Linked DNA regions of Coturnix japonica. The protein of the gene in region 1 interacts with the protein of each later gene in a pairwise test. Links are inferred from orthologs where the notes say so. Each region holds a gene or a part of one and is shown in the gene's direction. Other genes may lie near its edges. The genes, in order: NGLY1, UBQLN1, UBXN2B, RAD23B, TRAFD1, TRIM54 and GUCD1.

Region 1 (4,030 bases):
AGCAATCTCCAGAGAAAGAGATCCTTCCTCAGTAGGTAAAAATGGGATCTAGGAAAGGTGGAACCAGGCTCCACCCCTTCTGGTAGCACAGCTGAATTACCTTCACCTGTACTCCTGCAGCTGACTCATTGCTTGCCTCAGGTGGTCATTCAGAGGTTCAGGCTGTGATCAACAGTTTCCCATATGGGTAGCTAATTAGAATTTCTGTGACTACAGTCTGCAGAGGAATAAAGCTTTGTGAGTCAGGGGTAGGTGAACTAAGAATTATGTTCAAACAGTGAAAACTGTAAAAACATTAGGGACAAGTTAAGTAGAATTCAGTAGTGGTACACTAGAAAGATGAGGACTGGTGGTGGTCCATTGATTCAAACAATGTTTGGGAATAACTGAGTCATGCTAAAGTATTACATTTTATAATTAATAAAATAATCCATTTTGATTAGTTATGATGCAACAGAGCTAGGAAGTTTTAGGGCAGGTGGAAGCTTTTGGGAAGACTTTAAAAAGTATGTGGTTATGGAGTTTGTAACTTAGCTTTTCTGAAATTGATTCATTAACATGTACAAGCACCTGAATATGACAGTCACAGACTTTACATTTGATATTTGGAATAACCGTATAGTCGTTGATTGTACAAGAAATAGAAATATACTCAATACTTTTTCTAGTCCTAACATGTTACACTTTTTTTTCCCTTAAATTTGCAGATTTTATGTTCTTTGCTTAATAATTTACTTGCAAAAGTAATTGTGTGACTATTTTAAAAATAATATTTTTGCTCCTGTCTGGGAAAGTGGCAAGTCTGTTGTAGGAAAGTAGTTCAGAGGTCTCTGTTTTCTGTAACAAAAGCATCTATGCAAACTCTTGAAAAACTATGATGTGATTTTTGGGACTTTTTTCAGTTGACATGAAAACTGAGAAAACGTGGTACATTAATTAAACGTAACATCATGTTACTTGAAATGTTTTGGGAAATTAACGTGCTCATCTTTATGTCTTTTTCAGGAGAGAAAAGAAGTGGTTTTTATTCCCTCTGAAAAAGAGAAGGCTTCTAAACTTTTCCACCTCATCTACAATGTTGTGGAAGATAGTTATACACGGATTTCCAATAATAATGAGCAAATAAGTGGCTGGGGAACAGGTGTTTGGAAGGCAGAGTCTATTTGGAGAAAGGTTGAAACAGATTGGAAGATGGTAAGGATTTATCAACTGTTAAATCTACCATGGAAGTATGTCAGTTTCAGTAAAGTAGAAAATCCTTGCCTGTGTTTGGCATCAAAACCTCTCTGGTGCCTACAGAATTTAGTGGATGCTCATAATTATTACTGGAAAGTTTCAGGTAAGATTGCCAGATGATTTAAGAAATTGTGAATAAATTTAGCTTGCCTTTCAGAGCGTTAGAATCCCTGCTAGAGCATCAGATCTTAAAAACTTGTTTCCTTCTTATGCTTCTGGGCAAGCATGTGATACTGCTTTAGTGAAAAGCAGTACTTGTCTCAAAAAAAAAAAAAAACCCACAAAAATAAACACTTGCTTTGGGGAATAGCTTTATAGTGTGTATCATATCTCTTTGATGCACAGCCAAAGGAAGAAGTTGTCATCCTAAACATTATGGTTCCATCTGCAATAACACAAAAAAACTTATCGGCCAGATTATCATATACCCTGCCCAGACTCTTTCCCATCTGTTAGGACACTGAGCAGCAGAAGAATCATATGCCTTAAATCTAGGAAGAAAAGAGTTGACGCCTGTAGAATAGGAAGAGGTCACTTACTAACAAGCTTTTTCAGCAACAGCTACCAATGGTGAACTGAACATTCCTCTGAGCTACTGCAGCTTGTTATTGTTGTGTTCCCTCTCTCATCCTAGTGGCCTGAAGGGTCTTTGGCCAAATGTGTGTCTATCTTAAGGAATAGTTTGGTTTTTAGTAATGAAAAATGGATCAACAGGCATAATTCTCTTCTAACGTTTTCTGTACTGGGTCTATACATAACAACAGATATTTATACAAACTGGGAGGAGAACCTCTTGAGAGCAGCCGTACAGAGAAGGACTTTTGGGGTCCTGGTGGACAAAAAGCTGGACATGAGCCAGCAGTGTGCACTTGCTGCCCAGAAGGCCAAGTTTATTCTGGGCTGCATTAAAAGAGGGGTGGCCAGCAGGGAGGAGGTAGTGATTGTCCCCCTCTACACAGCTACTGTGAGGCCCCATCTGGAGTACTGTGTCCAGGCCTGGGGCCCCTAGTACAAGAAGGACACAGAGCTCTTGGAGCAGGTCCAGAGGAGGGCCGCTAAGATGGTCAGAGGGCTGGAGCACCTCTCCTATGAAGAAAGGCTGAAGGTACTGGAGAAGTGCCGTGTGGCAAGGAGTCACATCTGCAGAATCCAGAATACTGAGCAACAAAAATGAAACTGTGGACCTATGGTTTTATATAAAAGCCAGAAGTCTGCTTTTGTTTAAATAATGAGCTTTAATGAAAATGTTGAAATAGAGTAGTGTTCCTAGTGAAGGGCTATGAATTGTGTACAGTTACCTAACTGCTGAATAGACTTAATGATTTAGAAAGAAATCATATAAAAAGCAGTAATGTGAACAGTTTTAAAGCTTAATAAAGAATGAAAGCATATCCTTAAGATTGAATAACCTTGTTGCAGGGATTAATTAAATATGTGTTGATCATTTCAATTTTTCATGTGACTATGTCTTGTTTTTATTTAGGTTTATTTAGCCAGAAAAGAGGGGTCATCCTCTGCTTCCATCAGCTGGAAGTTTGAATGCAAATCTGTTGGTCTAAAAATAGATAACATTTCAATTAGGACGAGCAGTCAGACATTTCATAGTGGAAGAATCAAGTGGAGACTTTACTCTCCCGCAGCAGAAGTTATTGTGGTAGGAGGTAAGTGTGAAATTACATCATGCAGCAAAAGTGTAATTGCAAAGGTGTAGTTTATATGGGGAGAACACTAGGCAACTGTTAAGAATGAAATGTAAACATATGTTGATATTTCTAATTTAGTCTTTTGTAGCAAGGTGAAAAAAAACTGCTGTTTAATCAGAATTGGTATAGAAAAAGGAACAAAAGCAAGTTTTAGTAATCTTCACAATACTACTTTGCAGATTCGTGGCATTAGCAAAAACACAGTGAATAAAAGCTGTGTGTTTTACAAGTAAGGACAGAGATTTGTATGTGGTGGTGTCAGTCTTGAGTAGATCCTCTGAATGTGAAAAATACAGTAAAATTCTGCAGCTGTTAGGTTTTTTTTTCTGCTACTGATAGACTGATTTGTACAGTGGTGACTCAGATTCTTGAACATTCATGACACATTACCCCTTTAATATGAGTTCTAGCATTGTGTACTGTTTGGAGTGGACCCTTATTTTGTTAATCTTTTTCTTCCAACAGATAAAAATCTTACCTCCTATTCGGATTTTTGCGGTGCAACAGAAGTTACACTGGAAGCAACTCTAAGTGGAGGGGATGGTAAAACTGCATGGCAACACACGCAGCTGTTCAGAAACAGCTTAACAGGATGTGGAGAAAATTGCTTGGAGATTATTATTAAACTTGCTGACCTCTGAGAACCTGAAATAAGGTGAACTTCATTGGATTCCTTGAAGACTCTGTACTGTGGAAACAACCCAAGGTCTTGGTTGGCAGTTCATGACTATCCTGCAGACAGCTTATTCCTGTTTCAGTCTTTCCATTTTGCCAAATGGAAACTGCATGGGTACTGAGTAGGTAACCATCACAATGAAAGCCTTCTTTGCTTCGAAACTTAAAAATTAAGGGATTGAACCATTAAATTAATGCTCTTTCCTTTAACTAAAGAAAGGAAAGCATTTCTTAGTAACCAAAATGTGGTCATAAGAGCACAGAGCAGTTTTAATTTGGAGTTCTGTGGTTAGCTTACTAGTTATTGGGGTATTCGTTTTGTTGGTTTTTTTTAAATTTACTTCTTGCAAAAACAATGTGAATTCCATTTTCTGATTAAAACATTGTGATGATTTTAAAAATATTTTAAAAACTAA
Region 2 (4,030 bases), on another chromosome or scaffold:
ACAATGCAAGTTATTCTCTTCACGTTGGTTTGGGTGTGGGCAGCAGCAGAACAATGTTCACCTGTATGTTGCAAAAACCTTCAGAGACAACAACGTTGAGCAGATTTAGTGGAAAACTACGTGTACAAAAGGTCCGTGGGAGCCTGAATGCCATTCATTTCTTCATTTTTATCTTTACTCTTTCTGAATTTAAAGAAGACTGTGGGTTTTTTACTATATGAGAATGACCTTGCATTTAGTGTACTTACCAGTAACAGTGGGAGGTGCAGACTAAATGGAGAGATGCTTGCCCACAGAGTATGGGAAAAAATTCTGTATTCCACCCTCCCTAACTCTTCTTCACAAAGCAAACAGTAGTGATTTATGTTCTCATAGGATAGTTTGCTGAGAATTCAAAAAAACAACAACAACACTTGTACTGAAAAAAATTTGTAGGTTATTTTACTGCAGATGTATAAATGATCTCTTTCCTCTGCCTCAGAAAAAGATTGCTATTCTCACAGGCCTATTTTGCTGTGTTGTTATTTTTGATTATTAAAAGTAGTCATCAGACTCATTTACAAAATGAGTTTCGTGGTGTCACCTGGATGGCTTTCTTGAACATGAAGCATGGCTATCAATCATTACAGAAATCTCAAGATTTTGCTGAATTCAGGTGAGGCTGAAAAAGACCTGACTTAGTTTTAGTTTTTCTTTTTTTTTTTTTTTCCCCTCCCAGCAGTTAGTCTGCCTATACAGATATGCCTCAGTTAACTGGAATTGTCTCAGTACTTATGATAGATTTGTTTTCCTGGCTGGAAAAAGGTCATCTGTGCATTTGGATTGCGCACGTACATTGCTGTAAAGGGCTCTTTATGGTTCTGGTACATTGGATTTTGCATTCATGTCTTAGATTAGTGTTGTTCTTGCAGGTCATCTAAGGCAGTATCATGATAGCAGGGAAAACAATGTGCATAGCCTTTGATGCCTATACTAGTAATACTAGGTACCACATAGTTACGTTCTATAAAAGGTGTTTTGTTTCCTTGGCCTCATGGTTAAATAGCTGCTTGAAACCTGGCAGGACATGGCTCTAAGCACTGTTTACAATACAGCATAAAATTTATTATGATAATTAAGTTGCTCCCTGTCACACCATATTGTGAAAGTATGACAGCAGATTATGTTACTCTTTGGTCTGGCGCAATGCTTTTATGCATTAACTTTGTACCAAACTGAATGTTTTTCCTGATTTTGCTACTCTGTAATATGCATTCTTGGGAACAATTAACTGAAGGAATGAAGACTAGGAAGCAACTGCCTGTGAAGTTATTCTGCAGAAAATGGTTTAAAGAGTTAATAGTTGTTAAATAAGTCTGCACTGTTATTTTCCCATATGGGCTTCTGCTTCTTGTAAGTGGAAATGTGTCTTGCAAGATGTAGAGTTTCTCCTGCTATCCTAGTAAGAGTGAGTAAGAATTTATGTAGAGTGCTGTAGCTCATTTTGTGTCTTACATTTAGAAATGAACTTAAAAATAGAGAAAGTAGTAAGAACAATCAGATTAGAAAACACTACTCCTCAAAGAAAGGTTAGCTGTGCTGCAACCTTTATCCTAAGCTGAACAATCTGTGTTGACCATCGTGGGCCAGACAATGAAGAAACAAGAGAGTGAAGTGCTGGAGTAGGTTTCTTGGTAAAAAAAAGATAATGGAGTCTCTATTGCTGGAGACCTCTGAAAACAGGCTAGATAAACATGTGAGTAATAGATCAGGTAAGTAAGCCACCTTGGAAAGGAATGGACGGAATGACTTTCTGGAATACTGACAAGCTTAAATATTGTCAGTGTAAAGGCTGACTTAGAAGCTGTTTCTATGAGAACCAGAACAAAATCTGTGTGATCAGACTTAACTAAGCAGCGGCTACCTGCTACCCAGACAGAGACTTATCTCTGTTGTCTCTCAGATACTTCTTTTGGCATGTTCTTTTCTCTTCCTGTACAATAAACCCTTCCAATTAGATACTAGGGGATTTTCTTTTTTTAGTCCTGCCAATTATAAAACATAAGTATTAATAACTGTAAGATTAACATTTGAGTTTTCTGAAGGAGTGAGAATTTCTAGAATGCTTGGAAATTTTTTTCTGAAGAGGTATGGTCAATTCAGTTTTAAAATGCCAAATTGGGTGAACTTCTGGAGTTTTTCCCAACTGACTAGGATACCTTCAAAAAATAAATGACCTACTGAGTAGTCTTATTTAGAAGTATTCCTGGCTTTGGTATAATCAAGTCATTCCTTGTCATTTTTTCCTACTGTTTTCCTTTTTACTTTTAGTGACTTTTTTTTTTCCTCACTGTGAAAATTTCTACAGAATAATTAAATATCAGTCAAAGTGTAACCTGGTTACTACTTGATAAGAAGGCAGAAAGTTATATGATGGGTTTCCATGTTCTCTTGTGCTAATGAGAGTGTAATTTTTGTGGTCAGCTGAAGTAGGTGGCTTTTCACTATGGCTAGAACTGTTTCCTTTGGTTATGTTATGAGTTGGCTGAGAAAACAGGGCCAGCTGAGTAGTATTTTTTGCCTGTACGTAAAGGAGTGCTAGTTTTGTTGCATGAAGGGCAGCAAAACTGTCTGAGAAGTGAGGATAATTCTTTGATTGGTTCAAGGAAAAGTATAGACAGTTTCACTGTAATTGGGATATTCTGTCCTCAGTCTAATCAGCAAAGGATAAATTCTGTAGTGTGTGTATGTTTTGTGTATATATGTAAACATATTAGTATACATATACTGATATGTAATATGTGCATATAATACTATGTATACTTGGTAAAACATGTAAATTGTGTGCGTGTGTAAATATGTCCACACTGGTATGTAGTTATTCTCATGGATGTGTGTCTGAAATACTGACTATGAAACACTTTTCATCTTTACTGCATGGAAGAGGAATGACTTGCTTGTCTCTTCCTTTGTACAAAATTAAAAAAAAAAAAAAGTTGAGTGACCTAAACAAAGTATTTCTAGATTGCGTAAACTAAAAAATGCAGAGCATGTGCTTTAGTATATTAAGTTTGAACCAAGTCCAGTAATTATTAAAAACATAGTAGTTCAATATACAATTATGTAAGTGTATAAAATTAACTTTTTTGTTTAGTTTAAGGAAGAAATTTCTAAGCGTTTCAAGTCCCATACCGATCAACTTGTACTCATATTTGCTGGAAAAATATTGAAAGATCAAGATACTTTGACTCAGCATGGGATTCATGATGGACTCACTGTTCACCTGGTTATCAAAACACAAAACAGGTAAATAACAGTTGTCTCCCTGCTTCTAAGAAGTCAAAATACTTCTAATTTCTGATGTGACAGCTTCCTGTTGTGCAAACTTAGATCTGACTAAGCAACTATGGTAAATTTGTTAGCTGTGGTGCAAAATTAGTCTGAAGTTAAAATGCTCTTTCATTAGACCTGTGTCATATTTTAATAAGATGTGTGTTTCTGCATGCAAGTAATAGAACCATAAAATCTTTTGAGTTGAAGAGACCCTTTAAGGTCATCTTGTCCAACTCCCTTGCAGTGAATAGGATCACCTACAGCTACATCAGGTCGCTCTCTTGCTTTTGCTGTTGAACTTCAGCAGAGCTGCTGAATGTTGACTGCATTGCATTTTTACAGTTCTATTAGGTAGCAGCTTTTAGTAACCATGAGTGTCTGTTGAGCAGTATTACTTTTGGGACATTAAAAAAGAAAAAAATAGGGGAGAAACATTTCTGTTTTGGAGAGAGAGAAAGGAAGGAAAGTCCTTGAAGGAGAACTACTCTAGTGCAACCAACTTGTTTGCCTGAGCAGAAAGACTTTTTTTGAGATATTTTGATGAGGCTGCTTCTAAACGACAGTGAGAAAGATGCATAAATCTACAAATTACTTGTGAAGTGTCCTGAAGGAACAGCTGACTGAAAATCATTTTTGTCAACTAGGGTAAGGTATACCTCATTTGTATCTAGATTATATAGTCAATAACATGTTTGTTCTAGTCTGAAAGCATTCTTCC
Region 3 (4,030 bases), about 66 Mb from region 1:
AGACGGGAATTGTCTTTGTTCAGGTCATCTGGTCCAACCCTTCTGCTGAAGGCGGTACACCTTGAGCCTGTTGCCCAGGATGCCATGTTGAGGCAGCTTTTGAAGATCTCTAAGTAGAAGACTCCACAACCTCTCTAGATGCAATGTTCTATTGCTCAGAAACCTGCAAAGTATAAACAAAAAAAAAATGTTTCCTGATGTTCAAAGAAAACCTGTATTCCAGTTTGTGTCCATTACCTCTTGTCCTGGTGCTGGGCATCAATGTACACAGCCTGGCTCTGTTTTGTTTGCACCTTTAGGGATTTACACACTGATGAAATCTCCCTGAGCTTTGGCTTCTTCAGGCTGAACAAGCCCAGCTCAGTGTCAGACTTTCCACATAGGAGAGAATGCTCCATTCCCTTCATCTGAGGCCCTTTGCTGGTCATTCTCCATTATGTTTGTGTTTTTCTTGTACTGGGGAGCCTGAAATTGGACACAGTGCTCTAGATATGGTCAACTACTGGAAAAGCTTTGCCTAATACAGTCCAGGATACCATTAGGCACCTTTGCTGTAAGGGCACACTGCTGGATTGTGTTCTATTTGGTGTCCTCTCAGGTTTTGCCAAGCTGCTTCCCAGTAAGTGCCCCTCAGTGTGGTAATGACTACGATGTTTTCTTCTCCAGATGATGGGCTTTGCATTTCTTGTTGAGCATCATTAAGTTCCTGTCAGCCCATTTTCCATCCTGTTGAGGTGTCTGTGAATGGCAGCGCGACCCTCTGGTGTATCAGCTACTTCTCCCAGTTTTTGTATCATCTTCAAACTTGCTGAGGGTATGTTCTGTTCCATTGGTGAGATCACTAATGAAGATTCCAGACAGGATTAAACCCACTGTTGGTTTGTGGAGTACATTGTTAGTTACTTGCCTCCAACTAGACTGTTCTACTCATTACCACCCTTTGGGCCTGTCTGTTCATCTCGTTTTCAGTCCAGCTCACTATTTGCTCATCTCCAGGTGGGCAATGTCGACTGTTCTCCCCTCATCTACCAGGCCAGTCATTTCATTACAGAAGTTGGTCAAACACAGCTTCTACTTGATGAATCCATGCTGACTGCTCATGATGAATTTGATGTCTTTCCTATGCCTGGAAAATGATTTCCAGGTTTAGCTGCTCCAGTCCCTTCCCAGGAATTGAGGGGTGAGGCTGACTGACAAGTAATCAATTAGCTTTCTCTAGACACGATTCAAGTTCAAAATTGCCTTAAATCTTGAAGCTAACTTGAGACATAGTTATTTCTAAAAACAGATAACAATCTAAAAGAATCCCATTATTCTTTAATAATAATACTCATCTCATTGTGTCTTTATAATTTTTTTATATCGTCCACATACAATTTATGCTGGAGTCTTCTCTTTGCAAATTATTTTCAGTGTGGTGGAAAATGCATGGTTTTCCTTTTATAGCAGACTGTAACTAGTGGGAAAGAAGGCTCAAGTCAGAGACTGGGTGCTGACCCACAGCTGAGAAAGTGCTGGTTTCACTACTTGAAACAGAATGATGGGGGAAAAAAAGAGAAGTTTTTCTCCATCTTGGCATTCATGTTTTTCATGCTTTCATGTGAGTGGCTGAATTTTATTAAACCATTCTGTCACACAAATTATAAATGGCTGGTTTTATAAATCCTCTCTGTTCAGGTTACTCCCATCCTCTCATCTTGACACTTCTTTGCTGTACTTGATGCAGTTTGTGTGATAGTCTGCTCTTACTCAAGATCGAATGTGGGAAAAATCAGGTCATCTTTTCTTTTAAGTGATTCCTCCTTTTCTTCCTTATACAAATTAAATGCATCCTAGCTGATAATATGAAGATAGTGGAGACATCAAAAGCTTTTATTTGCCAGCTTTTCAGACTGAGCATGACTTTCAGTCTTCTTTTTCCTGTGCTTAGATACAGCTTAAATTCTTCCACTGATTAATAAGAAAGAAACCAAGTTAGTATACTCTGTTAGTCTCATAATATTAAAAAACCAACCAACCAAAAAAAATTTAGAATGTTAGGTTGAAAGACAGTCTAGTCCAGCCTCTTGTTCCCACAAGCCAACAGAAGTGATAAGTTGGATCAGGGAGATGATCCAGGTTAAAAGCAAATCTTTTCTTCTTTTTCTCCCTTTTCTCCTGTCAGATTTTGCTTGGGATCACGTCATTGTGTGGAAGTGAGGGAAAGTCAAAAATACAAAATCTTCTATACCTTGCTATTCAGATGAGTGCCTAGAGTTGATGTTAAGCTCATCAAGGCAGGAAAAACAGGAGAAGCTAAAGGACGTGGTCTAGGTTGGGAGCTGGACAGTAAGGCATTAGTTACAGGAAAGAGAGGTGCAGGGTAGAGCTAGTATCAACTTTAACTGCAGTTTAACAATTTGATGAAATGGCAATTATAGCTCTAACTGGTATGTCAGCAATATTTCATAAATACATGCATTTATTTCTTGTTTTATCAACAGGAAGTGTTTACTGCTTTTAAATGTAGTTCAAACACAGTCAAGCTCATTATGAAGTCATTGTATATTGTCTGTATGTCATGAATCATAGAATTACCCAGGTTGGAAAAGACCTTGAAGATTATCGAGTCCAACTGCAGCCTAACCAGAACCCTAACTCTAAAAACCCTACACTAAATCATATCCCTGAGTACCACATCCAAACGGCTCTTGAACACAACCAGGGATGGCGATTCAACCACCTCCCTGGGGAGCCTATTCCAGTACTTAACTACCCTTTCTGTAAAGAAGTTCTTCCTAATATCCAACCTAAACTTGCCCTGGCGCATGAATAACAGATTAATAAGAGACTTTTTACCACAAATGTAAAATTGGCTGTGGAATAAATAGTAATCTGTAGGAAACTGAAATACTTTACCTGTGTATCTTCACTTTCTTGAACATCTGTGTTTTTCCCTAGGTTCAGATTTTGCTGAAACTGTGGAGGAACGGCTTCAGTTTAGATGATGGAGAACTGAGATCCTATTCAGACCCAATAAATGCTCAGTTTCTTGAGTCTGTTAAAAGAGGGTGAGTTAAAACAGCAATTTTATTGGGGCACATCCTTCAAGTGAACTGAAGAAAACTGTATTCTCTAAAGGACCAAAATTATTAAAAACTCAACGTTTCTGCTATGTTTGTACCTATCAAATGAGATCCATATTTGTCAGCAGATGCATAGAGTAATTAAAAAACTGATATTTGTTGGTGGCTTAACTTCTAACTTTACTCATATAGGCTGTTAGTTCTGCATATTTTATTGGTAATTTCTATGCTGATCTTTTTTCTTCATTTTAGTTTTTCATTTTATCTGTTATTTTGAGACCAAGCCAATTCATAAAACAACTGGGCATCTATGGCTTTTAAAGTAAGCGGACAACAAGCATGAGCTTGTACAGTGTAAGATTTTTGTGTAATTCTTCATTGCAGTACAGAGCGTAACCGGGAGCCTTTTTTTGTATTAAGGGAAATTCCTGTGGAACTGCAGCGACTTGTTCATGGTGGCCAGGTTAACCTGGATATGGAAGATCACCAGGAGCAGGAATATGTGAAGCCAAGACTGAGATTCAAAGCTTTCAGTGGAGAAGGGCAAAAACTTGGAAGGTAAAAAATCACTGAGTTTTCTGCGTCTATTTGTCATGCCAAAAGCTGGATTTAATTAGTTCTTTTGGAGAACTAATCAAGTGATGACACCAGTATGAAATCACTTTGTGCCACCTTGATTTCAAGGTCCCAGCACTGATTTTATAGTCACTTGTAACCGTGAAAGCTTATATGTAATCTTACTAAAAGGCAAGTCTTCTGTGTCCTGGACCTGCTCTTAGATCTGCTAGATGTCTGTTGTAAATACAAGATTTCTCTGCCTATTCTAATGTATGATTTTGTCTCTCTATATTTTTTTTTATACCAATAGAACTGGTACATAATATTGCAGAAATCATTCCCATGTTCTGAGTGTTTACTTTGTCCAAATATACTTAATCTCTGTTCAGATTAAATTACTGTCATAG
Region 4 (4,030 bases), on another chromosome or scaffold:
TGGCTGTGGGCAGATTTGTCTGGTGATGGACTTTAAGGTCTCTTTCAATTTCATTCTGTGATCCTACGAAATCTGGCCTGGGATGTGTGTTATTAAAAAGCAGAGAGAGCTAATGTGTACCCTGGACTGCACTGATTTACACCCCAGCACATGCAGTTGTGGCCAACAGGCAAGCACACCCAGCTGCACTCTCACAAACAATCTTAGCTAACATTATTTAGAGAGAGTCCTGGCTGTATGATGGTACTGCTGGTGTGCAATTCCTGAACTACTGCTGTTGGTCTCATGTTATTATACTGTTTAAATAGACTGTGTATGGAGTACATGTGCTTAGATTCACAGTACTTCTGTTTCCTTCTTCCTTCTTTTTTCTGTACAAAATCTATCACTGCTCTGGTCTCTACCAAGCTTTTATTGAGAAAAGCACTACAGAAATGTTTAAGCATTAACTAATTAAATGAAAAGGTATTCTGTGTGCTGTTTATCTTCATAAGTCCATGATCAGTAGTAAGAATAAACTGTTGGTGGATGGGAAAATACGAGCAGAAAGTTGATAAATAAACTACTGTATTGGAACAGTTTTGGCTTTTTTGCTTTTTGAAGATATGTACAATAATATATAATTTTTAAGGCAAAGTTTTCATGATTGCTTATTTTAAGGAAATGAGTATGTAAAATAATGGCTATATGTAAAGACATGTATGTACCTTTGTTTAAGTTGGTTAAATCTTCTGTTTTGAAGTCTGAACAGTGGGTACTCACACTAGCCAATAGATGTTAAATCATTATTTATGTGTAATGCACAAGTGTCTTTGAGGTAGTGCTGTTCTACTCTTAAATATATTTTTTAGTTTTTCCTTTTGACTCTCTGTGGGAAGTCTCCCTTAAAATGTTGCTCAATTACAATTCAGAATAGAATAGTTTTTTCCTTTTTGTTTCAGAGGGTTTTTTTAAACCTTGTCTGTTTTTAACAGAAGTAAATGAAGCAGTTTATGTATACTTAATTTTATTTATTTCTAAACCAATTGTATAATGAACTGCCCTGAAACTGTTCCATATGCAGTATTTTTTAACTTTGTCTTGATATCTGCAGGCATGAGCCAGGTTTAGTATGTTTGCACCCAGACAAGATCGGGAGCTTAGTGTGATAGATGTTTAGTCAAAAATACATTGTGATAACTTAATCCTCACTGAAGTCTTGAGATTCTCTTAGATATAACTTTAGTCTTCTGCTTGACTTCAGTTGCTCCAAGTTAAGTTGGTTAAATTACTTTGATTGTTGTCACCAGCTCATAGTTAATAGACAATTATAACTTGATCATAACTTTGTCGCCTTTCTAACCATAGCTTAGTATAAAGTACTTCTTAGGAAAAAACATCAATGGCTAATATAGTCTGACAAGCAGGTTTCTGCCTAAAAAGCTTAATTTCTGAACTTAGACTGCAGGAGACTTTTCATAATTATGTTAGGAATTGAATATTAGTTTTAATGACATTGTTGAGCTTAGGGAAAAGCATAGAAAGGGAAGGGTATCTCAGTTATGAAGTTGGAATTGTCACATGTGCTGCTTTTTTCAGTGGAAGTTTGTAGTGTGTTCATTATCCTAGAACTCTGCTATTCCAACCAAATGCATAATGAAACTATCAGAACATGTTTTGATAGAACCATGGTGAGGTTGATATCAGTGTTTACGCTTCAGTGAATTACTCAAATTTGAATAGAAGTGACACTTCTCCATTGAAGCTTTTTAAGCTTTTTTTTTTTTTTTTGGTACCTTATTCATTTACAATGGTCAAAATGTTACTTCTAGTGACAGGTCAGTCCTATGAGAATATGGTGACTGAAATCATGTCCATCGGCTATGAACGTGAGCAAGTAATTGCAGCGCTGAGAGCCAGCTTCAACAATCCAGACAGAGCAGTGGAATACCTTTTAATGGTGAGCAGTTTGTCATGTATACTCCGTTCTCTCGTCTTCATTGAAGAACTTTGTATTTTATTTACCTGTTATTTTGAATATTGTTTTGATCGTGTGCTACGGGAAATACTGAAGTTGCTGTTAGCTACATCTCTTGCTTTGCTTATATTCTGTTGATTTTTTTGTGGTTATATGTGTTAGGCACACCCAGTTTCATTGGAAGCTCTTAATTGCTAGTGACCAACCCAAGCAGTGGTTGTTGTGACATCTTAGTGATAATGCTGTTTTGTTAGTGTGCATAACATCACACCAAGGTAACACTTTAGAAATTCCTGTTCATCATTACTACTGGTTGTACACAACAATCATACTAATGAGTTTTCCAAACAGAAGGACTTGTAAATTTTTATTAACAAATGCTTTACTTATGCAGTGTTCTGGACAAGAAACAGTTTCCCTTGTCAAAAACACAGTTTCAAAAGTGAAATGAACTTGATTGACTTGAGAGGTAATAAAATAGTAACTTCACTTTAATGGAAATCTTGTAAGTTATTTTAGGGTTTTTTGTTGTTGTCTTTGTTGTTGTTGCTTTTTAAATTACATCTCATTTTAAAGCCAGCTGTCTTGAACTAGTCCCTGCAGAGTATGAGAACAGAATTTCTGAGAGACTTGATAAGAAAACTGACCTCCAGCTGCAAAGTTTTGTTTTTGTAAACAAAATTTTTTGTTAGTGTGTACAACTAGCAGTCACTGGCACGGTTGCTATTCACACAATTGATCCCAAGATCCTGTAGTTTCTAAATGAGCAACAAATGTTTTTAGTACATGAATGTAAAAAGTTAAACTCTCATCTGGAATGGGAGCAAACAAAGGCTTTGAATTCTTGATACCCTGAGGGCAAATGGAGTAGTTCCAACCCAGCTGTCATTAATCTGGAAATCTCAAATATTTATCTTTCATGCCTTGGAAAGTGTTGGTTTTACTGTCTGCTCACTGTGCGTTTAGTTTGTACATAAATCCAGTGCCCCTTTGAAGTGCTGCGTTTGGTGTATGTTCCCCAGTCATGTACAGCCTGTAGTACTTTTGCAGTCGGAATAATATTTCCCTGCTTTAGCTCATTTGTGTTGAGGAAAAAAATAAAAATAGATTATCCAGGAGGTAGTTTAACAGGTGGCACGTTTGTTCATCAAACAGATCGATTCTGTCCTGAGTAGTTAATTTCTTGCTCATTAGGCTTGTGGGTCTTCCTCTTGCATATGTGCTCTCCCTTCTATTTTTTGTCATTCTCTTCTGAAAATATGTTTTCATTTTTCTGTCAGCTGGAGAAAGGAGTGGTGAGAAGTAATCTTGTTCTCAGAGAACATTAGTATACAGACTCTTTTTTTTTCTGTTAGAAAAATGCTATTGGTGCTACTGAACTTTTAGACAGTTTTTTGGTCTATCTAAATATGTTCATGACCAATCTGCTGCATCAGGAAAATGTTTTCTTCAGTTAGTATTGTTCCACTGATAACGCGGTTCTTTGATCTCCTAGTTTAACAGCCTCCAAATGATCTGCAGGGTAGCTTTAGGATGTTGAGCTCTTAAGTGCACACAATTATTGTGGTTTGAAGAATCAGCACCAAGAAAAAAGCCTATAAGCGGCTGGAAAGGAAAGGTCAAGTGTAGTTAATGTAGCTGTTCTGGAGATGAGAACTGGAGAATCACTGACAGCAAGTGGGATCATTTAACAAGCTATTCAATTTTTATGGCTTAGTTTCTCAATCATATATTGTCCTATATCCTTGAGCTGTGTTTGTAGAAGGAGATTTCAATTCTAAAACACACTTCTAAAAATTTTTATTTATTTATTTATTTTACTTCAGACTTGTGTTTAGGAGATATTTAGATTCAAATCTGGTTTTGACCAAAGGTTTTCTTAACCTGTTAATTAGATTTTCTGTCAGTCATCCAGCTATTTAATTCTTTACAACCCTCGTTGTCCAAAAATGTGTATGCTTCTTGGACTGTGCCTGATATGATTATTACACACACCTGTGGTGAATGTTGTCTGCTAGTAAGCCACTCTGTTTGGTTAAACTGTGAGCAGATCTGCCCACAGTAAGGCAAAAA
Region 5 (4,030 bases), on another chromosome or scaffold:
TGTGTCTAAACAGCCATCTGTCAAACACTTGTGACATAAACTACCCTGAAGCACAATGGGATTTTTTGGGTAACTGAATGCAGTTCTCTGCTGCCGTAGCCAATCTTGTTTTAAAGCTCTTTCTTTATTTTCCTTTGGGCTCAGTGAAAGGCAGCTCTGGGAGTGCCATGCAGATCTGCCTATTGCTTAGGAAACAAAATAGTTTTTTCTTTGAAGACGCATCCAGTCCAAAACACTGGAAGTTGTTTGTTCTGGAAGTTTGTGAAATACTTTTGTTTACAAAGTGGCAATGTGCTATTGCAGCATCTTCAATTATAACATGTATTTAATATATGTTTAGCTTCAGTGTAGTGTAAAGAGTGTGTGTAAGTGATAGTTGCTCAGTAGTAAATGCGTTGCAAGTCTGTTCCCTGATGTAATAAGCACTAATAAGTCTTTAAGCAGTACTTAAATGTGGTTGTGAAGAATGTTTCTTAAAAATTAACTTTAAAAAGCACTATGTGAAGCTGCTGTTAAAGCATTGCAGGTTTAAAGGGAATGTTTTGAATGTTGGTAGTGCTTCAGCTGACAGCTTTCTGACTACACAGGTGATACAGTGTATCATTCTTTTATTTCTTGTATAGTATTTTATTTCAGGCTGCTCTTCAGTGCAGCTTTGTATCTAGCTAAAGAAACAATAGCAAGCTCAACTCAAGTAAAGTGAGAACCTCCATTTACCTTTGCCTCCGTCTTCCATATGTTAAGAATAATCCCTCCTTCTTTTTTTAGACATCAGCGTGCCCTTTGCGTCCTGCAGTCTGCCAGCATTGTGACATCCAGCTTACTTTCAATAAGCTTCAGGATCATGAAAGTTACTGTGGAGCTAGGACTGAGATGTGTAGTGGTTGTGGCCTTAACGTAATGGTAAAAGATCTAAAAGAGCATCCCCAAGTCTGTGGGAAAGAGGTGAAGCGAGTAAGCAAAACAGTGCCTCGCTTTGAGGCAGAGGATGCAGGTTTGCATGCCCTTCGAGACATTAGAAACCAGTTAAGATCAGATAACTGTGCTGTGCCTTTGTGGAGAATGCCCAGGGCACTAGAAAGGCAGATCTATAGCGACTCTGTAGGAGACAAAACACTTAAGGACATTAGAAGAAGAAATGTTTCAAGAACACAGAGAAATCAAAATCAAGGTAAGGTATAGATGAAAGTAATAACTTGTTTTTAATCTGCCATTTGCCAGGTGATCCAAGTAAAAGATTTATGTGATACTAAGTAAGAAAAGTTGTGGAGGCAATGAGTGTGGCACTATTTTGTTGTGGAACAAAGCTGCAAAAGTATAAGCCTCCTAAATGGAGGACTTTTGAGGTAGCTGGTGAGATGACAGCACAGGCAATGCACTGGGCTTTCACCTCAAGAAGTACCTAACTTTAAAATGATGCTGGAATTGTTTGCTCACTTTAAATCCTTTTGATTTTTATTTAGCAGCTCCACTCTTCCTTTAAGTAGAAGGCTAGGTAAGATCTGTATGTGGTTCACATATGAAGTGCTGAGCATTTCTGCAATAACAGCCTGTCTGGACATAGCTGAGACTGTTATAAATGCCTCTGCTTGCTCATAAGCCTCTAATCTCCCACCTCCATGTGCAGAGGGTCATGTCACATTTAAGACATGCCCTTTCCATGAGCTCTCTGCTGAACGTGTGCTCTGCTTTCTGCTGTGGGCTACTCAGAGGGTTTAACACTGGAAAGTACTACACTGCAGTCTTTGCCATAGAAGACTGCCTGGCTTGCAGAAATAACTTTTGGGGTTAGTTAATGAAGCTAAATGCTTGGAGGACTATAACTTGTCCACTTGTACTGAGTTCTAAATTATCTTCTAGTAAGATTTTCATATGTGTATTAAGTTTTCTTGAATTTCTGATATAATCAAGATGAATAAAATGCTGGAGATATTTGAAACATGCCAGCATGGGGGAGGAGCTCAGCCTTCCACTAGACATCATCAGTTCAGTCTTGGGCCCTGTTCTGAAATGTGGTGGGTTTTTTGTTGTTGATTGCTTGTTTTTATGTATAACTCTACGACGAGGAAACATTTCATCATTTTCTTCTGTATGTGTATAATACCCATTTGTCAAATGTAGTATCATTAAAAGGAATTTGTTTTTCCACTCACACATTAAAGAGACAAGGTTGAAAAGTTCCAGCCTCACAGAAAGTAGTAGATGCGTGTTAGAATTGAGCCTTGTTCACAAGGTAGGATACAGAACTTCTCTCCTTAACTTCATAATGTTTGTGTAAGCGGAACAACATTTTCTGTTCTTCTTTCTCCTCTTTTTGGTTGTTACAAACAGAAGCAGGATGACTGTTTTCCTTCTAATTTGATACAGGAAGTGTCCTAGGCTGTGAAATACTGAACTCCATGAGTGTCCGCACGTGAAACCCTCTTGGTTGAACTAGACTAATTTGCTTAAGTAATTGTTGCAGGTTTAACGTTACCTAAAATTTATATTCATCTTTTGAAGAGTATGGACTGGAGCAGCTGGAGAGAAATAAAAACACTAACTCACTTTATGAAGAGCAGAATGCCAATTTAGACCACATGTTGGCTCTTAGCCTTCAGAATGAGAATAATCCTCGCAATAATTCTGCGGCAGAGATTCACAGGGACGTCTGGGAAAACCACTATGCCAAAGAATCTGTGCCATCTTCCTGCCCCAATGAAACAGACAACTCAAATACCTTTCCTTATGACTCTTTATTGTCTTTGAACACTTCAAACCACTTGAAACGTAAGTATAAATGCTGTCTTATTAAGTCTGAGAGAGAAAGAGGATTCTTGGATGCAGACTGTCAAAGATCATCTAAGTAGATCAAAGTGAAGCTCTTTGAGACTCCCTCTAAATAATTGTTAAATAATTAATAGTAGGAGATTAAGCATGCCATTTCTTTCTTAAAAGTTATCTTCTGTCCCCTCAAAAACAGTAATACTTCTTTGAACAGAAGTAAAGCAAGACAGAAGGGGAGGAAGAACTAAAAGGTGTAGTGGAGCTCTGACCTTGATATGTTCATCCAGAAATTCTTTTCAACTCATAACAGTTCAGAACAATGCAAGGACAAGCACTGATATTACTCCAGGCCTTCAGTTCTAAGTGAAAACACTGGTGTACCTTTAGAAGCAAAATAGGTGCCTGTGCCCATCAGTGCTAAGGGATTCATAACAACAGGCTTTCTTGCTGCCTTCCTATCATGTTTATTCTCAACACCTGTGAGAGACCTGAGGTGCCAAATTAATTTGAAAGGGAAAATAGTATGAAGGGATTTATGTGGGGGCAGTAGTAGGCTTTTGTATCATATATTTGACCCCAAAACACTTTTCTGTCTCTGGGTGATATGGATTTACTCAGAAAACTCAACAAGTGGGACTACAGTAACTATTTCCTTTGCATTTGCTTTGGTTGCTGTTCTGTGCTACAGTACAGGAATTTATTGCTTAGGAATTTTGAATCTAAGTTGATCCAAATGAAGCCAGGCTCTATATGGTAGAGGATATAACCATTATTGCTTTGCAGGTGATGAGATCATGTTGCCGTGTGAGTTTTGTGAGGAGCTGTACCCTGCTGAAGATCTGATTCTTCATCAGGTTTAGTACTTCTTTGTATTGTATCTAGGAGCTTGCAGTTAAGACCTGTTTGTTACTGTGACCGAACAAAGGTGCAGTGTTTGCTCAGTGATACAGTTAAAGTCTAGTAATTTTATCTTTGCTCAGCATTATTTTTAAAACCCCTGTGTGCTAAATGAGATGGCTAACTTTTCTATGTTACTTGCTTAACAGACAGGTTGTAACCCAGCAAGTGCCTTTGCTTCCTTCAGTAAAAGGAGTTCTCTGGATCCACAAAAATATGATGATCTGCATAATATTGGGTACAACAGCTATAGGTCTGATTATTCATCCCGGTACCAAGCTGTCCAGGAAGAAGGAAACATTATCATTCCCTGTGAATTTTGTGGCATCCAACTTGAAGAGGAGATACTTTTTCATCATCAGGTAAT
Region 6 (4,530 bases), on another chromosome or scaffold:
AGGGCAGCCTGGTGTCTCCCAGTGCTTGGGTCTGGGGTCTCAGGAGGACCCCAAGGTCTTAGGGTGGCTCCAGGCATCCTACAGTGGCCCTGGGATTCTCATGGCAGCAGGACACTGAGGTCTCTATGTGGCCCCAAAGGTCTCAAGGCAGCCCTGGGGTCTCACAATGTCTGGGTCTGGGGTCTCAGGTGGCCCTGGGGTCTGATAGTGGCCCAGGGGATCTCCATGGCAGCTGGGCCCTGTGGTCTCAGAGCAGCCCCATGGGTCTCATGGCAATCCCAAGCTCTTAGGGCATATTGGGGGTCTCGGGGAAGCCTCGGGGGTCTCTGGGAAGCCTCAGGCTGTGACATCCCATCCCGCAGGCCCTGGCGCTGTGCTGTGGTTTGCTGACCTGCTGCTGCTGTTTTTGCTGCTGCTTCTTCTGCTGCGGGAAGTGCTGCCCACCCCGCGAGGACGAGTCCTATAAGTACGTCGACCCCAAGGACCTGGAGGCGGACGATGGTGGCGGTGAGTTGGGGTCCAAAATGGTGACCCCCCCCACGATGCTCCCGGCTCACAGAGACCTGCAGGGGGGGCTGCACCGGGCTCGGGGGCTGGTGGGACACGTGGGTTGGGGGCTCTCTCGGTTTCCTTAACAGAGGAACAGAGACATGAGGGCCGTGCTGGTGCCAGGGGCAGCCCCGGATCGCTGCCAGGACCCCAGGACTCCCTCCTGGTTCCACTGACCCACACATTTTCTTTCCAGACCCACAGGTCCCGGTGGAAGCGCAGCCCCCCGCAAGCAACGCCCAGCCCCTGCCTGCTGCCGGAGCCAGGAGCGAGGCATAGGGCCACCTATGTGCCGGAGGGGGGTGGGGGGTAAAGCCTCCTCCGGGACCACCGCCGCTTCCCAAGACCCCATCGTGGGGTGGGGAGGGGGGTGTACAATCTCAGGTGAAACCGTCCTACAGCGCTGTGACTGAGACCGGTAGCACTGTAACCCCGGGGCCGGACCCCCCTGACGGGAGCTGGGTGCCAAACGCTGCTCTGGGGCTGGTATGGGGGGGGAGGAGGAGGGGTCGGAGAGGGGCCTCCCGTCGCGCCCCACTCTGCCTCGCCGTGGGGCCGCACCGCGCTCGTTATGGGGCTGGGACCCTTCAGGCACTTTCCGTGGGTTTGTATATGTTATATGGGCACCATTAAAGGATGATGGGGGGGAGCTCGGCGGTGTCGCTCTCTCGTCTCGGAGCGGCGGCTGTGGAGCCGGGCTGGGGGGGGGCAGCGCCGTGCCGCTCCCGGGGGGCGTCGGGACGGAGTGACCCCGGCGGTGGGACGGCCGCCCGCCGTGACTCAGTGTCACCCGACGCCGCCGACAGCTGCGCGGCCCCGACGGGGCGGGGGCGGCTAAAATTAGCGCTGCGGGGCCGGAGCGGGGCAGTGAGGGGCCGGAGCGGTACCGGAGAGGTACCGGGACCGCGGCGATGAACTTCGCCGTGGGGCTGAAGCCGCTGCTGGCGGAAGCGCGAAGCATGGAGAGCCTGGAGAAGCAGCTACTGTGCCCCATCTGCCTGGAGATGTTCAGCAAGCCTGTGGTCATCCTGCCCTGCCAGCATAACCTCTGCCGCAAGTGTGCCAACGACATCTTCCAGGTGCGGGGCGCAGGGACCGGGCTGTGCCCGGGGTTGGGGGCTCCGTACACGGGAGGAGGGGGGATCTCTGTCTCGGAGCGGTTCGCTAACCCCTCCTTCCCCCCCTGCCCTGCTCTCTCCTTTCCCCCCTGCCCCCCCAGGCCTCCAACCCGCTGTGGCAGTCCCGGGGTTCCGGCGCGGGGCCGTCCGGGGGCCGGTTCCGCTGCCCTACGTGTCGCCATGAGGTCCTGCTGGACCGGCACGGTGTGTACGGGCTGCAGAGGAACCTGCTGGTGGAGAACATCATCGACATCTACAAGCAGGAGTCGGCGCGGTGCGGGGCGGGACACGCGTGGGAGGGAGCCCGTGGGGATGGGGGGGGGGTGATTGGGGCTAAAGGGGCTCAAGGGCACCGTGGGGTGAGGTGGGGCGGGGGATGCCGTGGCTTGTGTGGTATGGAGGGCTGTGCAGGGGACACGAGGGGGAATGAGCCTGGGTGGGGGGGTATTGGGGCTAAACTTGTGGGGCTGGGGGTGCAGTGAGGCGGGGGATGCTACGGGGCAGAGGTGTGCCGTGCCGTGGGGCCGTGCCGTGGGGCCGTGCCGTGTGCCGTGCCGTGGGGCCGTGCCGTGGGGCCGTGCCGTGGGGCCGTGCCGTGGGGCCGTGCCGTGGGGCCGTGCCGTGGGGCCGTGCCGTGGGGCGCAGCGCCCTCTCCCTCCCGTCGCAGCCCCCTGCACGCCAAGGCGGAGCAGCAGCTGATGTGCAAGGATCATGAGGATGAGAGGATCAACATCTACTGCGTCACCTGCGAGGTCCCCACCTGCTCCATGTGCAAGGTCTTCGGTGCTCACAAGGACTGCGAAGTCGCCCCTCTGCAGAGCATCTTCCAGGGCCAGAAGGTGGGTGACCCCCAGAGCCGGGGGGGGGGTCAATGGAGCGGGCGCGGTGGGAGGGGTTTCCCGGTGCGACCCCCGACGCCGCTCCGCCCCCCAGAGCGAGCTGAACAACTGCATTTCCATGCTAGTAGCGGGGAACGACCGCATCCAGACCATCATTTCCCAGCTGGAAGATTCCTGCCGCAGCACTGAGGTGGGGCTGCCCTGTGTGTGCCTTCCCCCCCACACCCCCCCCCCAGGCCCCGCGTGTGGGGTCTGCGTGGTTCGGGACCCCCACCCGGTGTATTGTGCCCACATGGTGGGATGCTCCTGGGAGGGAAATCCCCACTGCAGCCATGGAACGCGGGTGTCCCCAGGGCACAGTGACACAGGGGTGTCCTGTGGGGCCGGGCTGGGAGCGTGGCAGCCCCCTGAGCCCCCGGGGGGGGATCCTACAGGAGAACGGCCGGCGGCAGAAGCAGCACGTGGGGCTGCGCTTCGACTCGCTCTGCAGCATCCTGGAGGAGCGCAAGAAGGAGCTGCTGCAGAGCATCGCCCGCGAGCAGGAGGGGAAGGTGCAGCGCGTGCGCGGCCTCATCCGACAGTACGGGGACCACCTGGAGGCCTCCTCCAAGCTGGTGGAGACGGCCATCCAGGCCATGGAGGAACCTCAGATGGCCGTGTACCTGCAGGTGCCTGGGGGGGGCTGTGTGCGGGGCGCCCTGCGGCTTGGTGCGCTGCTCCTGGGATGCTGACGGCACTCTGCTTTCCCCCACAGCACTCCAAGGAGCTCCTGAAGAAGTGAGTGGGGTAGGGTGAGATGGGATGGGATGGGATGGGATGGGATGGGATGGGATGGGATGGGATGGGATGGGATGGGATGGGGAGGGGGATGAGATGAGGATGGCATGGGGGGGTGGGTGGGCAGGGCTGATGCTGCTTGCTGTACCCCCAGGATCACAGACATGTCCAAGGTGTCGATGAGCAGCCGCCCTGAGCCCGGCTATGAGAGCATGGACCACTTCTCCATCAATGTGGACCATGTGGCTGAGATGCTGCGCACCATCGACTTCCAGCCAGGTGCCAGCATGGGGCGGGCGCTGCCTTGGGGAGGGGACTGCAGCAGGGATGTCCTCACACTGAGATGTGCCTCTGCCCCACAGAAGCGCTGGGTGAGGATGATGGAGATGGACCCACAGACAGCAGTGAAGGTGCAGGGGATGAGGAGAGCCTGGAGGCACCTGAGGCTGCTGAAGGTGAGAGTGTGTTGTGCTGTGCCGTGCTATGCTGTGCCGCAGTCACCACGGTGCTGCCGTGGCTGCGGCGTGGCCATGTACGGTGCATGGTCTCACCATGTGTCCCTCTCTCCACCTGTCCAATGCTTTTTCTCTACAGATGTGGGGCCAAGGCAGAAGCCATTGAGCTCTCCCCATGGTGAGATGCTCTGTGGGGATGAGCAGGGTGTAGGGATGGGATGGGGATGGGATAGAGATGGAGTGGCAGGGGATGGGATGAGGATGGGTGGGGATGGGGTGAGGATGAATGGGGATGAGGATGGGTGGGGAGGGGGGGAGTGAGGATGGGGATATGACAGGGATGGGATGGGGATGGGGTAGCAGGAGATGGGGTGAGGATGAGTGGGGAGGGAGGAAGTGAGGATGGGGATAGGATAGGGATGGGGTGGCAGGGGATGGGGTGAGGATGAGGAGAGGGATGGAGGGAAGATGGGGATAGGATGGGGATGGGGATAGAGATGGGATGGGGATGAAATGGGGATGAGATGAGATGGGGATAAGATGAGGCTGAGATGGAGACTTTGTGCTGGCACTGAGGCCAATGTTCGGTGCAGGTCAGCACTGAGCTGGACTCACGGCACAGCACTGACACCAGCAAACCCTACAGCCCTACGACTGCTATGAAGCCCCACGTGGTGGGGCTGCCCCCAGCCCTCATTAAACTGAGCGAGTGGACACTGTGAGGTGTGGTGTGTGGGGATGAGGTGCTTGCGGGGTTCCCTTGTACCAGGGCTTTGTGCTCTGCCTGCAGCC
Region 7 (4,608 bases), on another chromosome or scaffold:
ACATCTCAGTTTCTGTACAGCAAAACAGGAAGGTAAAGAGGGAACACCAGACCACAAACACACTGTACCCACCCTGAGCTTTGAGAATAGCTGCTTTTCCTCGGCCAGCTCCAGAGCCCTGGTTCTTATTCTTCATGCTCTTTAGCATAGGAGCGTTCTTCAGCATATCTGGTAAAATGAGAAACCGTATCTTGCTGCCTCTGTACACCTGCTCAAGCTGCGCCACTCGCCCATCCCTGTATGTCACTGTTATGTTGGACATCTGGAAAGTAAAGATCAGACAGTGGTCTCAAACACAGTTTGTTTTAAGTGGCCTTAAACATAGTTTTGTACTCCCACTACTCCTGCTCATGGAATATATATATAGCCAAGATTCAAGTAATAAACTCAAAGCCCTATCAAGCATACAGCCTTCAACTGTTATTGTTATATAAGGCATCTATAACCATTTAAACACAGTCTTAAAGCTTGCTAAAATTTAAGCAAACTCACTATTTTCCCCTCCTCCCCACTTGCTTAATTAGTTTTATTAGTTTTGTTTTCTTATTCAGATAGTTTAAATAAAGTTTTACTGGTCCCAGCTATTAAGGACATTTTTATTTCAACTACAACTTGCATGAAGTTATCAAAATTAAGGCTATTGCAATGCCTTAAAGTCCTCTGCATTAAGCACAGCTCTAAGCTCATAAATTAGAGTTTATTTATTATCAACAGGCAATAAACAAAGAACTGCTGAAGAGAAGGTGCTCACAGAGGAACCAGGAACAGGAAATCCCAATTCTGAGCAATTTGGTGTGCTCAGTAATCTGGAATTCACTTCATTACTGTAAGTGCACAGAGTAAAAGGGCTTTATTTATCCTAAGACTAAAAGTAAAAGGTCTTTAAATCCCGCTGTCAGTCTGCTGAGTGCAACCACTTCCAAACAGATGAGATAAACTTCTTTTACCTGGCAATTCATGTTGTCCTCAGCCTCAATGAGCTTCCCACGATACACCTCCCCAGTGTTGGTCTCGCAGGTCACAATGTGGCCCTCTGCCTCGTGCAGGACTTTAATGGGCACCCCGATGGACATGGCTGCAACACTGCGGCTCTACTCCTGGGACAGAGAGCACAACATAGAAGTGAATAAAGGAAACAAACTCCCAGTCGTTCTGCAGTTCGGCTTTGCCTACAGGAGCCGATTTGCTCCATTGAACAAAGGCCTCAGTGCTTTGGCAATACACGCCTATCCCAAGGCCCGGCCCAAGGCTGAGGGCAGCCCACCCTCTCAGCCCACATCTGCCGCCCTACGAAGCTGCAGGCACATAACAAACCCCCACAACAGACCCACCCCATAACAAACCGACCCTATAACAAACCCCCACCGACACTCACCTCCCACCAACCACCCTAATGGCCGCCGCCTTCCCGCCGTGCACAGAGCCCCGGAATCGGAAGGGCACAGGAGCGGATCCTGCTACTGCTCCTGTCCCTCAGGGTCTCGCTGCCTTATCACGATGGTTCCGCTGCACTTTTGTTCCTCCCGAAGGCAGCTCCCTCCCTCCCAGCTCCGAGCAGCCGCTTCGGGGTCCGCCCCCTCCGCAGCCGGGAGGAGCCGTCGCCGCAGCAGGGCATGGCGCGGCCCTAAGTCCGGCGGGGCGGGTAGTGAGCGGGCGGCCGCCGTCATGAGGAGCCCCCGGGAGCCGGGGGAGCCCCCTCCGCAGGCAGGTCAGTGACAGCTCCGGGGCCTCGGATCGGGGGCGGCCTGTCAAGCACTTGGTGGAGCTGAGAGTGCTCCGCCTTGTTTACAGCCGCGGGTCGGGCCGTGACAGCTCTGTTGGGGGTGGGGATGAGAAGCGGGCAGCGCTGGGCCTGGTTGTTACCTTTGAAGTCATAGTGTATGGAGAACAGGGACATCCACAGTGAGTTGTGGTGTTAGAAGGCCCTGGATGGTAACAGAGAATGGACCTGCTCATAACACAGCTCATAACACACCGCCAATGCTTACATTACTTCCTTCAAGCGGGATTTGAGGGGCTGTTTGTCCTTCTAAAGTATAATCAACATTGCTAACAAACACTGAGTACACCAATGGGTGTGTGCCAGCTTTCAAAGTTATGATTAAACCCAGTGACGTGATTGAGAAAGTGCACCGCGTTGTTGCTGCAATAAGCCGTAACTCAGTGAGAAAACAGTTTAAAACTGCAAGACATTGTCCATAAAGTTTTACATATAAAGCTGTGTTGAAACTGCAGCAGCCCCCAGGATGCTGAATGCTTTTTATCCCCATCTGAAAGCAGAGCTGACTCTGTGTTAGCAAAGGTTTCCAAGGGTCTGTACCAGATCGAAGGTAAAGTCATTAAGAAAAGCCTTTTATGATTAACTCACTTGGATTGTCTTTGAAGTTACAATGCCAAGCGGAAGCACTTCAGTCCATCAAGCAATCTGGGCTTTGCTGAAACTGAAACCACTACTACTGCCTGTAAAGAAATAACAAAGGATGAATTACTGATATTGCAGATTTTCTTGATATAGATTGGGTTTTGTCTCTCTTCTTTGGCCCTTTTACAGATGGTGTCATTTGTGAGCTGTCTTACCTTAAAAAATTACTCACAAAAAGACATGGCAGTAGAAGAGGCTGAAATCCATAGGGCTTGTAAGAAATCACTGCCTAGAGATCCTGGTTGTGTCTGTTTTTTACCCATTTGACCTATGACTTTTTGTTGGCACAGAATACAGAGCTGAGAACAAGCTGAATTGGAATGGTGAAGTACAGAAAAACATTCCCATATAACGACTGACAGCTTTTACATTTTACTCACACGGGGTGTTTTCACTGCAGGTGAATGTGTGCAGCTGAAAGTGCCCATCATTCAGCAGCTGTACCACTGGGACTGCGGGCTGGCCTGCTCCAGGATGGTGCTACAGTAAGTGCTGTTTTCATTGGAAGGGTGGGAAATCCCAACCCATGGGAGAGGGTATCAGGAAGCAATGTGCAGGGACATGAGGTGTATTGGAGCAGCTGTGAATTTTGCTTAGCAAGAACACATATCCCTGAATACCTTGGAGAATTACTGCTTCCAGGGCCTAGCACAGCAATCCAGAAGGGAAATTACAAGCTAAGACAAACTTAAGACCTTTTGAATAACTGTTCTGATTGATCAGCCCTGAGCTAACAATTAAGCAGTTTGGTATGCTTAAGCTGATAAGAAATTATCCCTCTTTCCTGTTGTTACAATTCAGAACTGGTATTTACCACAGCAAGTCACGTAATTCCTTTCTATATCATTATGCAGTGGATAGGTTTATCCTAGTTTCTGAGTATACTGCCTCTGTCCTGCTGAGCCCCCAGCCTGTGGGGTGAATGGTTTTTGTTCCAGGAGTTGTTTCAACATCACAGCTGTGCACTATATTGCCATCTCTTTTCTTTTTTTTTGTTTCTTTTTTCTTTTTTTTTTTGTGAACCTGTAGCTGTTCTTCTGAACTCCTCTTTCCTTCCACAGAGGAACATGTTAGGTGCAGGAGAAATACCTATTTAGATGTCCACTTAGTAGATATGAAGGAGAAGATTTTCATTTCTCTCCATCCCTTCTGCCAAGACGTTAGTCCGTGTGCTGGTAATTCCCATCTTGACTTCTGTAACCTCTGCCTCTTCATTCCCTTTAACCTCTTTGCCACACCAGTCTGTCCAAAACTCAGCATTCAAGATTAATATTCTCACCTTGCAGATCTGACCTTGTTTGCCCTGCTTCCTCAATTTGTTTTTTCTTCGTTTAATTCCATTTGTTTTGACCTCCAGAACTCTGTAACTGCCCTTCCCTATCCCTTTGCAACCTGTCCCAAGCTTTCTTCAGACTTCATCTCCCCCCTTACTGCCTTTTGTGTCATCAGTGCCTAAGCAGGCTTCCTTTGAATATTTATCAACTTCCTTTACAGTTCCTCCTTTTGAAATTCATCTGTTGCTTGGAGCAGGCTTTAGTCTTTACTGCTGCTTTCTGCATTTGCTCTATTAACCTTGTATATGTAGATTGTAAGCCCTTCAAGATAGTTCTATACTTGCTCAGTATAGCTTGCCTATTGTCCAGCATCCTGTATATATTTAGTACTACAGAGCAGTTGAGATACCTGTATATTTCCAATAAGAAAAGTCAGAAATAAATCCATTTATGTATTCTCTGCTTCCTTCCCTTAACTTTGTGGCTCATTTGTGGGTTGTTTTATGCTTATTTCTTAGCCAAGCCCATTGTATCAGTTTTTCTGTCCCATGGATGTGGAGGTTTGGGCTACAGAACATACTGTGCTTCTCCTAAGATCTGTGCTTCCTTTCCCCTACCTCTACTAATACCATAGGTACCTGGATCATTTGGACAATGATGAATTTCAGAAAGCCATCCAAGAGCTCCGGTTAACAAAGAGTATTTGGACCATTGACCTGGCCTACCTAATGCGGCACTTTGGTGTTAAGCATAAATTTTGCACCCAGACGCTTGGAGTGGACAAGGGTTACAAAAATCAGGTTAGTGTTCTCATTTATTGGGAAATGACAGGCAGTTTTAAAAGGGCCCCCTATGCATCATGCTAAAATACCTCTGCTGTCTTACTGCTAGTTAGATATAGCTCCCAGAAAC

The links.
Region 2: the proteins of NGLY1 (region 1) and UBQLN1 interact in binary tests that used the Homo sapiens proteins (3 or more experiments, as listed by UniProt). The two-hybrid records come from large-scale screens. The link is inferred for Coturnix japonica from reciprocal best matches to the Homo sapiens genes NGLY1 and UBQLN1.
Region 3: the proteins of NGLY1 (region 1) and UBXN2B interact in binary tests that used the Homo sapiens proteins (3 or more experiments, as listed by UniProt). The two-hybrid records come from large-scale screens. The link is inferred for Coturnix japonica from reciprocal best matches to the Homo sapiens genes NGLY1 and UBXN2B.
Region 4: the proteins of NGLY1 (region 1) and RAD23B interact in binary tests that used the Homo sapiens proteins (3 or more experiments, as listed by UniProt). The two-hybrid records come from large-scale screens. The link is inferred for Coturnix japonica from reciprocal best matches to the Homo sapiens genes NGLY1 and RAD23B.
Region 5: the proteins of NGLY1 (region 1) and TRAFD1 interact in binary tests that used the Homo sapiens proteins (3 or more experiments, as listed by UniProt). The two-hybrid records come from large-scale screens. The link is inferred for Coturnix japonica from reciprocal best matches to the Homo sapiens genes NGLY1 and TRAFD1.
Region 6: the proteins of NGLY1 (region 1) and TRIM54 interact in binary tests that used the Homo sapiens proteins (3 or more experiments, as listed by UniProt). The two-hybrid records come from large-scale screens. The link is inferred for Coturnix japonica from reciprocal best matches to the Homo sapiens genes NGLY1 and TRIM54.
Region 7: the proteins of NGLY1 (region 1) and GUCD1 interact in binary tests that used the Homo sapiens proteins (3 or more experiments, as listed by UniProt). The two-hybrid records come from large-scale screens. The link is inferred for Coturnix japonica from reciprocal best matches to the Homo sapiens genes NGLY1 and GUCD1.

The regions. Positions count from the first base shown.
Region 1 is NC_029517.1:34,848,461-34,852,490, reverse strand, and holds part of NGLY1 (peptide-N(4)-(N-acetyl-beta-glucosaminyl)asparagine amidase), read left to right. Parts: intron 1-1,005; coding exon 1,006-1,194; intron 1,195-2,719; coding exon 2,720-2,897; intron 2,898-3,404; coding exon 3,405-3,580; 3' UTR 3,581-4,030. UniProt on the Homo sapiens protein: Specifically deglycosylates the denatured form of N-linked glycoproteins in the cytoplasm and assists their proteasome-mediated degradation. Cleaves the beta-aspartyl-glucosamine (GlcNAc) of the glycan and the amide side chain of Asn, converting Asn to Asp.
Region 2 is NC_029547.1:36,148,822-36,152,851, reverse strand, and holds part of UBQLN1 (ubiquilin-1), read left to right. Parts: intron 1-3,133; coding exon 3,134-3,285; intron 3,286-4,030. UniProt on the Homo sapiens protein: Plays an important role in the regulation of different protein degradation mechanisms and pathways including ubiquitin-proteasome system (UPS), autophagy and endoplasmic reticulum-associated protein degradation (ERAD) pathway.
Region 3 is NC_029517.1:101,283,342-101,287,371, forward strand, and holds part of UBXN2B (UBX domain-containing protein 2B), read left to right. Parts: intron 1-2,940; coding exon 2,941-3,050; intron 3,051-3,485; coding exon 3,486-3,623; intron 3,624-4,030. UniProt on the Homo sapiens protein: Adapter protein required for Golgi and endoplasmic reticulum biogenesis. Involved in Golgi and endoplasmic reticulum maintenance during interphase and in their reassembly at the end of mitosis.
Region 4 is NC_029547.1:49,514,454-49,518,483, forward strand, and holds part of RAD23B (UV excision repair protein RAD23 homolog B), read left to right. Parts: intron 1-1,811; coding exon 1,812-1,939; intron 1,940-4,030. UniProt on the Homo sapiens protein: Multiubiquitin chain receptor involved in modulation of proteasomal degradation. Binds to polyubiquitin chains.
Region 5 is NC_029530.1:5,457,624-5,461,653, forward strand, and holds part of TRAFD1 (TRAF-type zinc finger domain-containing protein 1), read left to right. Parts: intron 1-768; coding exon 769-1,171; intron 1,172-2,502; coding exon 2,503-2,769; intron 2,770-3,549; coding exon 3,550-3,620; intron 3,621-3,812; coding exon 3,813-4,025; intron 4,026-4,030. UniProt on the Homo sapiens protein: Negative feedback regulator that controls excessive innate immune responses. Regulates both Toll-like receptor 4 (TLR4) and DDX58/RIG1-like helicases (RLH) pathways.
Region 6 is NC_029518.1:95,417,347-95,421,876, reverse strand, and holds TRIM54 (tripartite motif-containing protein 54), read left to right. Parts: upstream 1-1,393; 5' UTR 1,394-1,460; coding exon 1,461-1,628; intron 1,629-1,768; coding exon 1,769-1,941; intron 1,942-2,334; coding exon 2,335-2,506; intron 2,507-2,600; coding exon 2,601-2,696; intron 2,697-2,940; coding exon 2,941-3,174; intron 3,175-3,260; coding exon 3,261-3,283; intron 3,284-3,437; coding exon 3,438-3,562; intron 3,563-3,645; coding exon 3,646-3,738; intron 3,739-3,877; coding exon 3,878-3,916; intron 3,917-4,331; coding exon 4,332-4,342; 3' UTR 4,343-4,460; downstream 4,461-4,530. Other genes in the region: DNAJC5G (dnaJ homolog subfamily C member 5G), read left to right, coding at 363-507, 746-828. UniProt on the Homo sapiens protein: May bind and stabilize microtubules during myotubes formation.
Region 7 is NC_029530.1:7,449,290-7,453,897, forward strand, and holds the start of GUCD1 (protein GUCD1), read left to right. Parts: upstream 1-1,474; 5' UTR 1,475-1,497; coding exon 1,498-1,708; intron 1,709-2,822; coding exon 2,823-2,907; intron 2,908-4,330; coding exon 4,331-4,496; intron 4,497-4,608. Other genes in the region: SNRPD3 (small nuclear ribonucleoprotein Sm D3), read right to left, coding at 73-262, 948-1,073.